3 linked regions of the Drosophila melanogaster genome follow. The gene in region 3 interacts genetically with the main gene of each other region. Each region holds a gene or a part of one and is shown on either strand. Other genes may lie near its edges.

Region 1 (7,628 bases), about 13 Mb from region 3:
CAGGCAACTTGCCAATTCTTATCAATGGAGCTAACTCAAAAAGTGATATCAGTAAGTAAATAAATCTTAATTGAACATATTTATGAAAAGATAATAGGGCGCCAAGGAATTAGTAAACGTTGGTGCTTTACAGCGTTATCGGACACGATCTGCCAATCCCAAAAAAATCACCTGTTACACCAAATGCAGAAAAAATTAAAAACAACCATGCGAGTTCTTTTTCTCATTTGCTAAATTATTAAGCTTTAGTTTAGCAAACTTGTTTTTTTTTTGTTTTAATTACTTGTTTGTGTTGGTTTCTTGTTTCATATAGTACATTCTATCTCGATCTATATATTTAATAATATATATACCATTACTATTTTTATGTTTTCTTCGTTTAAAATCATCAATTGAAGTTCAAGGATTTGCGCTTTCATCGTTTCGATCCGACATTGACAATATTTATGTCTAGATATATATATATATATATATAAGAATACATATATATATATATATATATATGTATATTAAGAGTTCCAAGAAAAATGATGTGTGAGAATTGTAACTTATGGACAAAAATTCAAAAATTTTATCATTTGCTTAAATATTCTTAATATTTGTGGTTGTTTAGCATATTTTAAATATGTATGTGTTTGCTTGCATATCCTTCAACTACGCGCATCGAATTCATAAAATATAATGATGGGTGAGATGGAAATGGAGGGCGGCTTGGGCTGGCTATACATGAATGTAATATACTTTCGCGATGGACTTGCACAGTTTATTATTAACGCTTGCTCCTGGTTTTTGAGGTTGTGAGAGAGGAGTGAATTGCTAAACGAGGGTGGGGTGGAGGGTGCATCTGTGTATCTTTTCTGTATTTTCGTGATTTGTGTTGCGCTGCGCACAGACAGTTTCTCTTTCACATTTGCTGTTCCTATATAGTATACGTGTGTACACATATATAGTTGTTATCGACTTTGTTTTACTCCGTTTGGTTATTTGCGAAAGTGGCTACGATGCGACTGCTGATGCTGCTGCTGCTGCTGGCCCAGGTCCTTTGCCTGAAGCTGAGGCCTTGCTCATTGAGCCCACCAGTCGGGTGCGTTCGAAGAGTGCGAGGCACTGCCGCCGCCGTAGGAGCCGCCATAGGAGCCACCACCGGCGCCGCCGCCATAGTATCCACCGCCGCCCGAATTGCCGCCTGTAAAGGAAATCCACTGTTAAGTTTCTGCCTTTAAACTGATTACTGCTGATGGATGATTCCACACTCACCAAACTTACCGTACGAGTTTCCATTGCTGCGGTAACTGCCGCCGCCGCCTCCTGATCCGGAACCACCGCTACGTGGTGGCGGTCCACTGCGTCCGCCACCGCCGCCGCCAGAGCTTTGACGGTAATCCCTGGAGCCGAAGCCGCCACCATAACGTCCACCACCGCCTCGTCCAGCCCGCTTGGCTCCGCCATGTCCGCGATCCGAACTCATATCCTCCATGAAACTGGGGATCTCCTGCTTCGTTTCGATCAGCAGCTCCAAGAGATCGGAGCAAATGTTGCGGTTCTTTTCGTTGAAAAAGGAGGTGGCCACACCAAGATTACCCATACGTCCGGTACGCCCGATACGGTGGACATACTCCTCCACATCCGAGGGCAGGTCAAAGTTAATAACGTGCTTAACGTGCGGAATGTCCAGGCCACGAGCGGCCACGGCTGTGGCCACCAGGATGGGGCAGTCGCCCGATCGGAAGCAGCGCAGTGCCTCCTCGCGCTCCTTCTGCGTGCGATCACCGTGGATGCTAGTGACGGGATGATTGCACTGGTACAGGAACTCCTCCAGCGAGTCTGCACCCTTCTTAGTCTCCACAAAGATCAGTGTTAGGCTGTCTTTGGTGTATTCGGGGCCATCGCGGATAGACGAGAGCAGATCCAGCAGATACGAGCGCTTGTCGGGTTCATAGACCCACAGGATTGTCTGCGTAATGTTCTCAGATGTGGAGCCCACACGACCAACGGCCAAGAAAATGTAGTTGCTGAGGAAATCGCTGGCTAACTCCTGGATCTGCTTGGGGAATGTGGCCGAGAACATAAGCGTCTGGCGCTGTCCGGTTGGCGGCATGTTTAGCTGTTCGACGATGCGACGGATCTGCGGCTCGAAACCCATGTCCAACATACGATCAGCCTCATCCAGTACAAGGAATCGAATGTTCTCCAGTCCCACCTTTCCGCGTGTGATCATGTCCTCTAGGCGACCGGGTGTGGCCACAATCAGATGGCAACCGCGGTCCAGCTCGCGCATCTGCTCGCTAGTATTGTTTCCGCCGTACAGCACTGCCGGGCGCATCCGGGAGCGATAGGCGAACTTCTTGGCCTCCTCAAAGATCTGGGTGGCCAGTTCGCGGGTCGGCGCCAGCACCAGACCCAACGGATACTGCTTGCGCCGGCTGTACTGCCGGGTGCTTTGCGGCGGGGGCACATGTCCCAGCTCGTACATCTGGTTGAGAATCGGCACCAGGAAGGCGGCCGTCTTGCCGGATCCAGTCTGGGCGCAGGCCATTAGATCCCGGCCATTGATAATGATCGGAATGGCGTGCTTCTGCACCGGTGTCGGTTTGTCATAACGTGCTAAGGCCACGTTGTTGCGGATAATCTCCGTCAGCTGCACATCATCGAACGATGTGATGTTCGGGGGCACATTCTGGCCCGTCGCCTCCACGGGTATATCCTCGTATTTGTCAAAATTGATTCCCGTATTGCCCACGCCGAACAGCTCCACCTCCAGGCGCTCATCTCGGGCGCCCAGCTTTGTGTAGTCGACGTTTGAGCCGCCGCCCTCCTTCCAGCGGCTGTTGTAACCGCCGCCTCCGCGCTCGCCGCGATTGTTGTAGCTTCTGTTGCCGCCGGCAGACTGTCCGCCCTCGCTGCCATCGAATCCGGCAGGACGTTCTGGCTCCTGCCAACGATCGTTGCGCGGCTGCTGCTGCTGCTGTGCCTGGCCATCCTCGGCAGTCTGCTCGTTGAGGTTGCTACCGCTTCCGCCGCCACCGCCGCGGTACGATGGTCCGCGTCCAAATCCTCGACCTCCTCCGCCGCCTCCGCCGCTGCGATTCCAGTCACCGCCGCGACGCGAATCGAATTCACCACCTGCAAAAGTAATTACATTTTCTCTAATAATATGGGCATATTAGAGGACCAAGTATAAGTCGTACGCATTACGATTTTAAGGATCATTACATTATGGAGCTGTAAAAATTAATTAAATGTCCTTGTGCTTCTTGATAGTGAATAGACCACCTGTTAGCCAATAGTACCCACCGTTGTAGTTGTCCTCGAAACGTCCACCGCCTCCACGTCGTCCTCCGCCGCCGCTTCCGTAACCGTAGTCGCCGCTCTGGCGATTGAAGCCGCGACCACCACCGCCGCCGCCTCTGCGGTATTCGCCTCCGCCTCCGCGCGACTGTTGAGGGTCCCTAGTCTCCTGGCGCGGATTCCCGGATCTGGAGTCGAAGCCCTGACCCTGGCCCTGTCCTTGGCCCTGGCTCTCTGCGTCCGCTGCGTTGTTATTGCCACCACCACCACGAAGGTGCGGGGGCACATACACACCACCGGTGACCGAGTTAGTGGAAGTCTTGCTGGTTATGGGGCCGCTGTAGTCAGCAGAGCCGCCATTCAAGTCCAGACCAGCAACCTGCAAGTGATAAAGATTAAATGGTTAGTCTTCTTCAGAACTTGTGCAAAAAATGTGGCATCAAATGTGGTTTCCTAACACTTAAATTATAGGTTTTGTTCTATTTTTTTTGTACTTAATCATTGGTTTAAGATTACTTTTCTTTGTTATATACCAAGTTTACGGGAACACAGTGCATTTAATGATAAGATCTATACCAGCAATGCAAAACTAAGCTACACAAATAATCTTTGCTCCACTAATACAATTGATTTATAGTACACATGGCCAATTAACATATGTTGCCTGTAAGTTAGCCGGCACCAGTTCAAGAATCAAGTTCAACAGTTTGGCAAAAGATTCGCCGGGGAAATTTTCTCCAGAACTGCCAAAATGAATTCGTTCCCGCTTAGCAACATGTGCTATTTACCGCTCTTCCTCTTAGCAACGCAACGTGTATATATACATAGATACATATGTATGTACGTGCAAATCTCCGGAATACACAGATAGAGAGAGGCGCAACTAGTTTAAAGCTTCGAATTTAGTGCTCTCCCTGTAAGCGTCTCTCTCGCACTCGCAGGCAAGCTATTACACAAAGAGAGTCCGCCTGGTAACCCAACAAAAACAACACGTGAACGAGCCACCCACACATGGGAAAACAAATCGCACCGTAGGGGCAAAACACAAAGCCCGGTTGCGGGACCCAAGTGGACAGAATGGTGATGAAAGCAAGGGAACTCTTTCAAGAACTAGTTTAAATGTATACAATGATTATTATTCCCGTATATCTTGTAATATTCAATATTTTGCCTTCTTCATTTATATTAATTAACAAAGGCAGCTAAATATGTAATTCGCAGATTTTGTGGGGCGTCACTTAACGGCTAGATCGTTGCTAGATTCATTGCGTGCATTTGAGGCATACAGAAATAGTAGTATTTAACTAAACTATTTCCATTTGAAAGCATTAACGTTTGTTTATTTCACATCTCTAATAAAGTTTAATTCTTTTTAAGGACCTAACAAAGGCTTGTTAAAATAGTGTATGTAGATTACATGCTTTGCTTTTCTTCCATTTTTTTTTGCCAAATCACCCTTGAAATTAATCACCAGATCGCTTACTCCTGGCAACCCTATTTACAACAGCTTCCACATGTGTGAGCAAGCGAGAGAGAGCGAGATATAACACACACACACGACCAGCCTTAGAACAGCGGCACTGCTCGCACACACGACACACTCAACGTGAGAGGCCGAATGGAAACTTTCATATGTATATATTATACATGTCAAATTGGAGGCAAGCGAGCAAAAATTATACAAAAGAAATTACAAATTGGAATGACGAAGAGGGACCCAGGCGCACACACACACGCACATATATGCAAGCCATTGACACCGACACAATTCACCGTTGTAAAACGAGCGATAGAGACATTAGTGTGTTATGAAATCAATAAATTTCTAGGCGAACTTTTTCAAATAGCCGCATGAGCATCACGAACACACACACACAGCCACCGCATACACATGCGTGTTCCATTCTTATATAGATGGTAAATGGTATTTTCAGCAGTTAAAAACGCTACTTACTTGCTGCTCTAGACCTGTGCCATTTTGGTTAATAGCATTACTCATATTATCCTCCAATCAGTTGCTTTTTTTTTCTTGCTTTCCGTTTAGGAAAATTTTGCAATGGTTACGCTTTGAATTTTTTTTTTTGAATGCACACTTGCAATTTGCGACAAAAAAATGTATACGATCGTTGTGTTGGTGTTGCACTTTGTGTCTATACGTTTTTCCTTAGTTTTTCCGACAAAAAACTTCTTACGTTCCACAAGCTACTGCGTTCTCGTGTGAAATTTCAGGGTTCTTTTCGTTCCTCGCACACAATTCCCTTTGTTCGGCTTGAAACTGAGACGTTTCCGTATCGGATTTGGCTGGCCTGCTTGTGCCAACAATTACAATTACAAGCGCTATGGGCTTGGAAAATGCTGCTTCTCCGACGAGTTCACGTTTTTTTCCGCTTTCAGACGCGTGTCTAAAAAATCAGGGCTGCTTTAGCACGTATATCGATGAGGAATCGATAGATGCGGTCGGTGGAGGTAGAGCAGAGACTCCAACCTGGGCTCTCGGCGGCGGTTACTGGCAAAGACTCCGGCAAGGGCGTTGCCAGATCTATATCCTCGTCTCGCGGTCTATGAAATTCAAATTGAATTTTTTCACTTTTGCTTTTTCGGCGCGTCGATCCCTTCTAGGCTGTTGTTGTTTTTTGAATGGAAGAGAAATGAGGCTGGGCAGTTAAATTTTGTTTCTTAAAGGCCAAAAATGTTTGTGTTTATGTTTAGGAATAGTTGTTTATAAGGCGTCAGCCGCTGTACCCCATTTCGTTATTTGAAGCAAAAGTCAAAGAAATTCAAATTAAATTTGAAATTTAGTATATATATGTGATTGCCGTAAAATAGGTATTAAAAATTTCCAAACAATTCCATACTCAAGTTCCCTCCAAGTCTGTTAAAGAAAACTAAAATTCGAAGTTTCGAACTCTGGAATATATTCATTCACTTTCGTCTTCAGAATATACATATTGTGAATGTACATGTTTATATAGAATAAATGCTTTTGGTATTGGCCTTAGCTTGAGATTAGTTAGTGGAACAATAAATATGGCTATAAAGTATCGTATATATGTATATAATAATAATTTTCATATCGTTCAGCCCTTGAGCAGGCAGCGGGAGTAGAACTCCCGGTCGATAGCGTCGTTTGGAATGTATGAGCTCCACTTGAAGATCAGCGCCAGCGTGTCCCCGGCGGACATGTGATCCAGAGCGATGTTGAGGAAACAGTTCCAGTTGTAGAAGAAGTGGCGTCCCAACTGTTCCTGTTCCACGCCAGATATGCACTCGCAGTTGGCGCACACCAGTCGTCCGCCGCGTTGCAGTTCCACGAACTGTTCGAAGCAGCGGCCCCATGCGCTCACGCTCAGTTGTTTGCCCACGTCAGCCAGAAGTTCGGGGAGTCCGTAGTTGAGGACGATGGCCACCACTTTGGTGAGATTCTGTTCGGCTAGGTAAAATTTAGCTAAGACGTCTAATAGTGCCGGCACTGATTGAACAACATCAAAGCACTTCAGTTGCTCGCCACGGGACCAGAAGTATCGCAGGAGCACTGCTCCAAGCTCATGATACTGGCAGGAGGTATCGAAGCGAAGGGGGAACGAGCAATGCTCACACTTGACAATCTCCGCATTTTGCGAAGTATTTAGCAGCACAAATCCGGCAGCTATGTGATCCCGCGTAGCGTCGTCCACTTCCCAGATCATCTCCGGATCCAGGTAATCGAAATACATCTCGTAGCAATTGCGTTGCGCTTGGTCAGGCGTATCCCCATGCTCTACCATCACCTGGGCTAGTTTCTCGAGCAGATTCACCAGCTCGCCAGCTGCATACTCGTCGAAGACAGCGCGATAACGATCGACGCACTGCGTCCGGCTAAACTTGGCGCTCTTGGCGATCAGGTAGAGGTTGTAAAGAGTCTTCTCCTCGGGACTGATGTGGGGAACCTGGGGAGCCGGTTTCTTACAGCGCCTAACAATTTCCTCCTCCTGATCCTCGCTTCCCGACTCGTAGCGTGCTTTGATGTCCTTGAACGGCAGAGAACGCTCGCTGGCTGGAATTAGTTCCCTGACCAACTGCTGCTGTTCCTCGGCAAAAATATTGAACTTGTATTTTATGATGTTCTTGCCGAATTTACCAGTTACCGTCAGCAGCGCATCCTTGAAGTGTCCCGTTTTGAGAGGCTGCTTCAAGTTGTCGCAGAATGCGTTTTCCAGCACGTACACTCCCTTCGGCGGAGCTCTCGATGAACTTCCGCCGCTCAAACTGCGTTCAGTGGTGGCTGAACTGCCTCCCGAGCTGTGCGTATCCAAAGCACTGCCTGTGCACTGAGTTATGGCATCAAATATCACGGATATATC
Region 2 (4,828 bases), on a different chromosome or scaffold from region 3:
ATATTGAGTTCGTTACGGAACTATAGCAAGGTAACATTTTTCGAGGACCCGTTTCAATATCCTGACAGAAAAGGATACTTACACTTTCAATGGGACGCAAGTGCACTGCTTATTCTCGAGATTTGGATAGGATGTCTGTTGAAATTGCTTGAGATAAAGGTGCCTGATTCTTGCTCCAGAGATCTCAGTCCTTTGCAGGCTCTTGATTCAATTAAGTTGCCAATTGTGTGGGTTCAACATCAAGATTTCAGGCTTTAGAATTGGAAAGTGAGGTCGGTGAATTTTTCTCGAGAGGATCGATATTCTCTGGGCTACAATATTCCAATTGATCGGAATTCTCCAGATTATAAATATCTCTACCTAGTACGTAGTTTAAACAAAATTGTCTGGTCTTTCGCCTTTCCTTTGGCCTTTCTTAGATTCCTTTTTTTTTGGCTTTAATATGGGTGTGTTGCCTGTTGTTTTCCGGTGTCTTGTCTTGTTATGGACTGTGTGAGTGTATATTTTTGATTTTGGGTAAATTTTTGATTTTTTTTTTATATTGAGCGAGAAAAAATTTGAAACTGAATAGTGGGAAAAGTGAAATTTGTATGGGGCTTTTAGACATTTGCGATTGACAGCAAAGCCAATGGTGTGTGTGATTTGGGATATTCAATAATGGGTTATATTTGCAATACTACAATACTTTCTACATAACCTATTACCGTCCATAGCCTAAAGCATTAAAAGAAAATTATAGTTAATCCCTAAGAAATCTAGTTTTTATGCAATCTATAGCTAGTTTTCAAATGCCATAAGAATTACTTGGAATCAAAATCTAGCATCCTTAATGAGTTCGCAATTGATTTTTCCATTGATTGATTTAGACAGGAAGTAACATTTTCTTTTTGGGCTTGTTTTCGCTGTCGTTGTGGATTTTATTTTATTGGGTTTCGTTATTGATTTTTGTGTAGGTGACAACTCTGTGTGTGGGTTGCCGTGGGTGGGCGTTGGATTGTGTGGGTGCGAGCGAGACGGCAGCAGATGCGTGAGTGAGTGCGTACAAAGCAAGGCTGGAAAAACACTCCCTCCTATTCCCACTCCCTTACTCTCTCTCTCCCTCACCTTCTCTCTCTATGGCTTGGTTGGTATCTCCTTTCTCTTTCTTACACTTACACTTTGGTGTATTTGGTAAACCTCAAGAATTCTCGTCGAATTTTTGTTTGTTATTTTATGATGATTTTTCACTTTTCTTTGCGCTTTTCCTTTGGCTTTTCACTGGTTTTTATCTTTTTTTTTCTTTTTTTTTGTGCTTTGTCACTTTTTGCTCATACAAGAAAAAACAACAAAAATCACAAATGGCGGCGCCGTTTGAATCCGTATCCGTATCTGAATCTGAATCTGAATCTGAATCCAAAACACTAATATCTCGATAGCTGTTCGGCGTGAGCTATTGACTATTAACTATTTAACTGCGAACTGTGAGCTGAGAGTCGAGAGTCGAACGAACTGACGCAACGGCGACGAGTGAACTGCCTGCCTGCCGGATATACGGATCCCAATTTCCAAGGTGTCTGCTCAGCGCCCGATGAAAATGCGAGGAAAACTCTGTTCAGCTCTGCTCTGCTCTCAGGACCTCTGCCGCGGCGCTGTAGCAGCGGCGTTGGCGTTGGCGTCGCATTTTCCCACCCATCCAAAACAGTGAAAGTTGTAAACCAAAATGGCTGACCCTGCTCCTTGGCATATTTGTATCTGTATCTGTGTCTGTACTCGTATCTGTATCTGTGTGCAAGCGTCTATACACATTATCCGCTTTAAAGGGCAGCAGCCGGCTTACACCACACTCACTCTAAAAAGTCGGCGACCACTATAAATGATCTAAGGTTAAGAAATCGAATAAGCTAACTATTAATTTATGCCAGTATACATTGCCAAATGTATTATTAAGTTACTATAGGTAATCAAAATATATTTAACATACATTTTAGGCCTTGCTTAGATACGTTACATATTTATATAGCTAACTTCTAATTTCATTTCTATTCCGATTTAATGATCGATGATTTCTGTTGATCTGTTCTATTTCATCTGGTGATCACTGTGCCAGCTGTTGGACCTGTACTTTGCACTGCTGGTCGCCCTATGCAAAAGGTTTTCCCGACCCAAAAAGGAAAAACATCGAAAAACGCAACGGATAAACGAATATTTTCCATCTGATTGGCTTGGACCGGCTAGCTGTTGGCAGCGCTGTCGACGCTGACGCTGACGTTGACGTCGACGCAGCTGCGACGGGGGTGAGTGTGAAATGTGAAAAGCGAAAACTCATAGTACCAAGCGGAAAACTCGGGGAAAAACTCTGAAAACAAGGGTGGCCCGAGCAGAGACGCCAGCGTTTTTCCCGCTCTCTCTTCGCTCATCGCTCTTCTCTCCACTTTTCTCTCTTCTCCGCTCCTCTTCGCTCTCCTTTGCGCCCTTTTATCGCCCCGTCTGTTTTGTCTACTGGCTCGTGAAAATGTCAGGAAAATTCAAACTGCCACAGCTGCTTGACAAAAGGCAAGACTATAATTTTAAGACATGAGGAAAACAAGAGAACGGAAAATGTCTTTCGGGGAAATTGTGAATTCGATTCCACTCACGATTGCCACTTGTGAGCCAAGTTATTGGCATTTGTAAATTGCGATTATGCATAGATATCAATAAAGCTATTATTTTGGCTTATAATAGAATTATATAAATTATTTTCTTTTCCCAATCCCATTGTTTAGATTGCATATATTAATTGTGGCACTTTTCGACTCCAGAAAGTATGCAATGCATTTTACGACTTGCGTTGCGGCTTCTTTGTTACTATGGCCTTTATAATCATAAGTTTGTTTTCGAACGACGAGTTAGAGAGTGTAGTATTCAATTGTTATGATAGTGTTATGAAAGATACATTTCTATAAACAGTACTTGATACCTCAACGGGATTTTCCAACTAGATTGGACGCAATGAGGTTAACACGAGGGAAGTGAGCTGCGAATAGCGATTCCGGGGACTTGGAAAAGTCTGCAGCTCACAATCGTGTTTCGATCTAAGACTGTGCCTTCTCCATCTCTGTTTCCCTCACTCCTGCCATCTCCCTCTCTCGCTGACCTTGCTGCCAACGAAATTTCTACTTCCTGCTCTCCTACATTTTCCCGTTCCTCTTTTTTGTCGATGCTTCCTTCCTTCGTTCAGCTAAATCTGATGCGCACCCCAGAGCAGCAACAAACATAAAATATATATAAGTATGTACATATATATCCGACTGTTACCAACCCAACTCAGCCCACACACACACACACACACACACACAGAGAGTCTACACCCATACCATATCGCACGCACACACTAAGCGATTGCGTCCCGTTTTCGAATTTCGAGCGAAACTTGCGTAGTTTTTCAACCCCAAAATACGGGACAAGGACAAGGTCGAGGATGTGGCCCTACGCCCCTGGACATGGGTGCACAATGGCAGTGGTTCCAGGCCCATGCCCATGCACTTTCCATCCAAGATCTCAATGCTGAGCTGCAACTTTAAGCTTAAACTAGAAGATTACGGAGTGCAGAAGTAAGGCGAACGAACTGTTAAGTTCTTTAACTTCAAGCCATATTTGTTAAGATACAACAATCATTTAGATAGATCTTTCAAGGATATACATCTTTCTACCTCTGACTATCTATATTAGCATATACTTAGGGATCTATTTTGTAGTACCATTGTATAGATATAGCTCTGATGGCAGACTTGAAGAATTCTTTCAATGCATTGATGGAATACTTTAGTTGTCCCGTACATTTCTAGGAGGCTGTTGAACCCCTGAAAATCTCATAATTTGCTTGCCACCACCACCATCGCTGTTGCTGAATGTGCGCTGTGTGGTTGCGATGCGTTGCTGCGTTCCTGCGTCTGTCAGGAATGTTTACAGCCGGCTGGCTGTGAGTTCTGAACTCTCAGTCTGGGCTCTAGCCCTAGCCTAGTCCAAAAAAAAGGGACGAGGATACGAGCTGGGAGGGTTTAACGCTAATGGTAAAGGGAAAGGCGCAGGGAAAGGGAATGGAAATGGGAAAGGAAGAGCCACCACCCACCCCCAGCGGCAACTGCGACGCATTTTTGTGTGTGCGTCCTGTGCGTTGCCATGCTGCGATTTTCCATTTCGATTTGGGATGGTTGGGATCGCATTGGCTTGGATTCTATGGTATTTAGTGCACAGTAAATGAAAATGGTCGAGTGTCGCGACTATTAGATACCTTCTAAGCAGGAAATGAAGCGATTTTGAGATGGGGCTAAACAAGCAGATCATCATTCTCTTTTTTAATACTTTTCGAATGTTTCTAAGAAACCCAATTTTCATTTGTAATATAATCACAAACATCATTTAAAATTACATTCAATTATTTTCGCGAGTGCGTTGGCACGGGAATGGTTTGGCATGGAAGGGGTTGGGGGAGAGAACGTTCCAGTCCGCTGTCTTCCAGCTTTTGGGTGGTGGTGTCCCGTTACGCGCTTGCCACTCTTGCCATCTCTGTTGCACCCACGCCACACGTCGAGGATCGAATTTGGCTGCGTTCCGTTGACTTCGCCCCTTGCTTTATTTACTTTTTTATTATTATTATTTCATTAGATTGCAACCCTTGTGTGTCTCTCTATTCTGGCATCACCCCCCCCCCCCCCCTTCCACCCCTCTCCACACATTGTCCCGTCGTGGGACAAGGACGAACGCCAGTGGAAGGTGGCTGGGTGCTGCGTGCTGCGTGGTGGGGGTTGGTTGAAAGTTGAAAGTCAGTGCGTACTTTGAAATCTTAACGGAACTTGCTTGTTTATTG
Region 3 (4,824 bases):
GCCTCCCCTCCCTTCACCTTTTCACTGCCACTACTCTGCTCTCACGTTCTCCGTGTTAATTTCGAATTAGTATAGCAACAATAACCGGCCGCAAGGTGTAGTGAAGATTGTTAAATTAACGGATCTTTACTCTTTATAACTTAAATTTAGTCTGCCCCCGAATAATAAATATGCCCAATTGCAGACATGAAATCTCAATTCACTAATTAATAAAATATTAGCTAAAATCCCAATTCGAATGCAACTAATGGCTGGTATTTAATTTGCAGCCATAACTGTATTCCTCTGGCATGCCAATTTACCGTTATTAATTATGAAGATCATGCATTTACATGGCTATTAATTATATACGTTGTTATGTATGCAGACTCACGCACACACAGGCATAAGCACAAGCACACGAAAACATACATATGTATGTACATGCATGCTCACTAACACCCACACAGATACCAAGAGCTAATAAAAAGTTTCGCTTTCTTTTTGCACATCATTTTGCATGCGCAGTAAAAAGGCAGGGACAAGTGAAATAAATACAAATAAATAATGTGCGAGTGTGCAAGGTGTTAAGCAACAACAATTGCAATAGAGGGAAAAAAGTGAATCAAAAGCCAGAAAAAGAGGAAGAACACGAATTTTGTGTATTAAGCGGCAGTCCAGAGAGAGAAAGAGAGAGTCTCCCACGGTGTGTGTGTGTGTTGGAGGGGGATGCTGCTAGGGAAAAGAGACTGAGAGTAAAAGCCGGCCTGAATCCGAATAACAGCTGTTACTCACAGACACAATCCACATGGAACATCTCTCTTCATCTTTTTGTTGTTGTTGGTCCCATGGATGCTTTTTTCTAGCCGGTTTTATTTTCTCTATCATCTTTATTTCATTTGGTCAATTACACACACTTGGCTTCTTTCTTATGAACCGCAAGGACCGAGACAGAAGGCAGCCACTTAATTGCACACTTACAGAAATGAAATAAGGTAATAGTAATATAAAATAAAACGGCTGTAAGCCTCGCCTTAGCTTTTTTCGTTTGAGAAAGCCAAAAATAATTGCCAACTGGCCAAGTCAAGAAAAAGAGAACGAGTAAAAGAGAAGGCGGCTTTTTGTCCAGGGAGAGGCGCACAAAATGCGTCGCAAAATATTTCGCCCACAGAAAACTGCAAACATAATGAAAGCCCGGGAAAGGAAAAATTATTGCGTGGGTGTGGAATATCAATGCCGGCAAGGAAAGCAGAATGAATTCCAGGGAAGTCCCCTTTGCGTTTCATACACCAAAATTTTGTACATAATGTACAAAACTTCATTTCGCCTGGCCATTTACGCGATGACGCATTTAGAGCCAATCGAATATTGTGTACTCACAAGGCCTGATAACAGGGGCCACACATAATGTACACACTATGTGGTGCAGTCGTCAAGTACATGCACAGATTAAAGCGGAAAACTGTTGATGCAAGTCCAATTAACCCGACGAAACTGGTAGAAGTAACCGGCAAATTCAAGACCACAGAAAATATTAAAGAGACAAATGATCTGAGATTTTAAAACATTTAGATCACTTTAATTTGTAAAACAAACACATTACCTAATTATTACATGTCTATTGAACATTTCAGTTGATATTTATGACTGCAGTGCAGCTTTAATTTTGCATTCCTCAGTATCCACGTCAACACAAAAACGCCAGTTAGTTGGCTAATATTGTGCTGGACGGTTTTACACAATTAATTTTAACTTGAAATGTATTTTTGTCCATATCTTCGAAGAAAAACCACGAGTTCTTCAAACTGTTACCTGCACTGTTGTCTTAACATCTAGTAAAATGTTAATCTGGGGGGCGCCATAAAGAAATCGCCGCCGACTTTGGGCAAATAGAAATAAAAACTGATGGACTCCGAATTTTCGATTCGTTATCTCTGAAAACTGGAGCGTTGGGGGATTGAATGAGTGAGCGAATGACTGCTATTCACCGTATCGGTTTTGGAGGTTATTAGAGGGCTTAGCCCAAAATTGAATGATTAATTGATCATCAAAGGTGAGGTGGAAACTCCCTTTGCTTCTTTTTTTTTGTCTTGTTTGAATACGCACCTAAAAATGGAATTTTTGTTGGTTTTACTTGCTTTCTATATATCACACGCAACCACAACAAATTGCTCTGCTTTTTTTTCCACCGCCGCCTGCTTCTTCTTGCTCTTTTTGAATATCACACACGTTTCATATTTGCAAATTTTTCATTTTTTTGCGGGCGTTTTGCCTTTTCTGTCGGTTACTTTTTGTATTCCACGTATAATGTGCTGCTGCTTCTTACTCGTTTGACTCAGTCTGTGTGTGTGCGAGTGTGAGTACGTCGGTGGTGTGGGAACTTTTAACTTTACTACGCGACGTTTTCGTTTCTCTTCTTTATTCTCTATATATTCTACGATTCTGTGCGTGACGTCAGCAGTTCGAGCATTTGTTGTAGATATCACATAATTGTTACACGCCCGCACTTTTATTTTATTTTATTCTTGATTTTTTAGAGCATTTGCTATTGCTACTCAGCGACTTGAATCTTTTACTTGCAGAGGCAGTCTTTTGCGGCTTTTTGGTTTTTCTCTCAGTTTTCCATTTTCACATTTTTGCGGACTGGCGACGAAAAGCGAACTGAACTTGGGCCACAAAGTGTGTTGTGCCGTGTCTTTTTTGGAGTCGCCGTCGCCGGCAAAACGCAATCCACACGCGGAGAAAGAGAATCGGAGAGACACGAGATAGAGAGAGAGAGCGAGAGAGGGAGTCGTCTTACGTCAGACGGAGAAAACGTAAGCACCACCGTAATGGCACTTTTAATACCGGCCACTTACGCTTAATTAGTGTATTAAACCACATTAACTTATCAATACCTCAGTCTTGTACTCTTTTCAGTTAGCTTTTCTATTTTTTTTCGGATTTTTCCGTCGATTTTCCCCTCGTAACGTGTTTTCTGCTCGCACATGTGTGTGGGGGCGGCAGCGGCAACAGCAGCGTCACGACGCGACAACAACACTGAACGCGGCGAATCGACAGAACAAGCAACGAGCCACAAAACGCACGGCGTCTCTTGTAGCGGCGAATTTGAGGCGTCAGCAGCTGAGCGCTCGCGGCACGAGAGAGTGAGAGCAGAAGAGAGTGGATCGTAAATTGAGTGGAGACAAAACTGATCAAACGATAGCTATTCGATATTACGATAGGTTGTCAATTCAAAAGGGAACGAATATTTTGGGTTATTAATATTTTGCAATGAATAAATACATTTGAGTGTTAAAAGAAAAATATAATTATTTATAAGCGAAGTTAAATACCTATAACAGCGCTGTTAATCACTTCCTGAATTGTTTTTTAAATGCTACATTATTTTACCTAATATCAGCTTTTAATTAAATCTTTGGTCCAAGTTTTATTTGAAGTTTTTAATTTTAAAATTCTGTTGATATAAAAACTAATGCTTGAAGCTAAGAGAACCACGCTAATTGCAGCGAATTAGCGGCAACAGCTGAGCACGAGAGAGAACGAATGTGGAGAAGGGGGCGGAAAGCGAAAGCGCAAGAGGGTGGAATGTGAGTGGCGCCGCTTCCTACTCTTCACATGTGGCATGTGGAAGCCAGACTCGAATGTTCGGTGAGAGCGGCTTTTGCTTTTGGCCCCCAACCCTTTTCGCTCTCTTCGGCTTGCCGGCTACAAATCGGCTAAAAATCGCTCAGACGGAAGTGGCGACGTCGCTGTTACCGCACCCACATCAACAGCGACGCCGGCAGAGAACCTTTCCCCTCCCGCTCAACCAACCGCTTCACCATCTTCTTTATCTTTATCAGTTGTGTGCCAAGTGTTGCATTGCGTTGCAGTGACGACATTGTTGTAGTTGCAGCAGCACAGCAGCGTTGCCGATTTTCAGCGCCCCATCAACAAGGGGTACACTTTTTAAGGCCGGAAATAGGCATTAAATGGGTCTATCGCATAACTCGACACTGTCGCACACAAATCTATTAATTTCTACGTATCATAAAAATTATGCCTGAGATTAAAGCCAAGTATGCTCATCTCACAGCTCACAGCTTAATCATATAATATACCTTAAAGATTTGCAACTTTATAGAGAAAAGTTAGTATTTAATTAAGTAAATACTAACTGAAGTGTAAAAATTCACCTATTTGCTGAGCAACTGACCTGATTAAAGAAACCTGCTCAAACATTTGACTTTCCATTCTTATATTATTTGTTATTCCACTATTAATCTACTTTAGTGCAAAAGCACTTTCTACTAAACAAACAATACTCATACATTCTGGAATAATGCAAAGTTTGTACTCATAAATATCCCAAAATCGCTACCATGTCACTTTTTCTAACAACAATCTGATTAAATATTTACAACTCATGCCCGCTGCCATTTGCATTCCTGGTTTTGTGTGCACAAATGTATCTCGCAAATCAGTACAACTTGCCAGGCGATCTGCGCAGTGTTTCCCATTCCCATAATCCCAAGCCCAGTAACTGAGAAACATCCCCCCCCCCTCCTACCAGAAATGTAATCTCCTTTCCAGTTTTCGATTTCTATTAACTTTTTAGGCAGTTTTTTTTTTTGGATTCGAGGCTGTTATCCTTTGGGTTTCTCTTGGGTGGGTTGCTGAGGCGAGGACACTCACAGATCCGTGAGTGTGATTTTTTTCACATTTCCCATAAGCCAGACCGGCAGACAAGAAGAAGAAGAAGAAGAATGAGAATACGAATATGAAGAAGAGGGGCGAGAATCACCCCTCACGGACGCAGAAAGAGAGGAAGAACTTTGGCCCCTGCGCCTGCCCCTTCCCCCT

Evidence for each region.
Region 1: of E2f1 (region 3) and bel, changing one suppresses a phenotype caused by changing the other (phenotypic suppression), as found in Drosophila melanogaster (2 studies listed by BioGRID).
Region 2: of E2f1 (region 3) and Imp, changing one enhances a phenotype caused by changing the other (phenotypic enhancement), as found in Drosophila melanogaster (one study listed by BioGRID).

What each region holds. Positions count from the first base shown.
Region 1 is NT_033777.3:8,654,721-8,662,348, forward strand, and holds bel (belle), read right to left. Parts: upstream 6,042-7,628; 5' UTR 5,288-6,041; coding exon 5,243-5,287; intron 3,668-5,242; coding exon 3,295-3,667; intron 3,124-3,294; coding exon 1,258-3,123; intron 1,187-1,257; coding exon 1,065-1,186; 3' UTR 255-1,064; downstream 1-254. Other genes in the region: p (pink), read right to left, coding at 6,366-7,628. UniProt on the Drosophila melanogaster protein: ATP-dependent RNA helicase that is essential and required for cellular function, larval growth, and for male and female fertility.
Region 2 is NC_004354.4:10,821,237-10,826,064, forward strand, and holds the start of Imp (IGF-II mRNA-binding protein), read right to left. Parts: upstream 3,042-4,828; 5' UTR 2,939-3,041; intron 1,551-2,938; exon of another isoform or gene 1,156-1,550; intron 582-1,155; exon of another isoform or gene 83-581; intron 1-82.
Region 3 is NT_033777.3:21,630,048-21,634,871, forward strand, and holds the start of E2f1 (E2F transcription factor 1), read right to left. Parts: upstream 3,027-4,824; 5' UTR 2,877-3,026; exon of another isoform or gene 2,086-2,876; intron 1-2,085. UniProt on the Drosophila melanogaster protein: Transcriptional activator that binds to E2f sites. Required for wild-type growth in mitotic and polytene tissues, Contributes to the expression of replication genes at the G1-S transition and Cyclin E.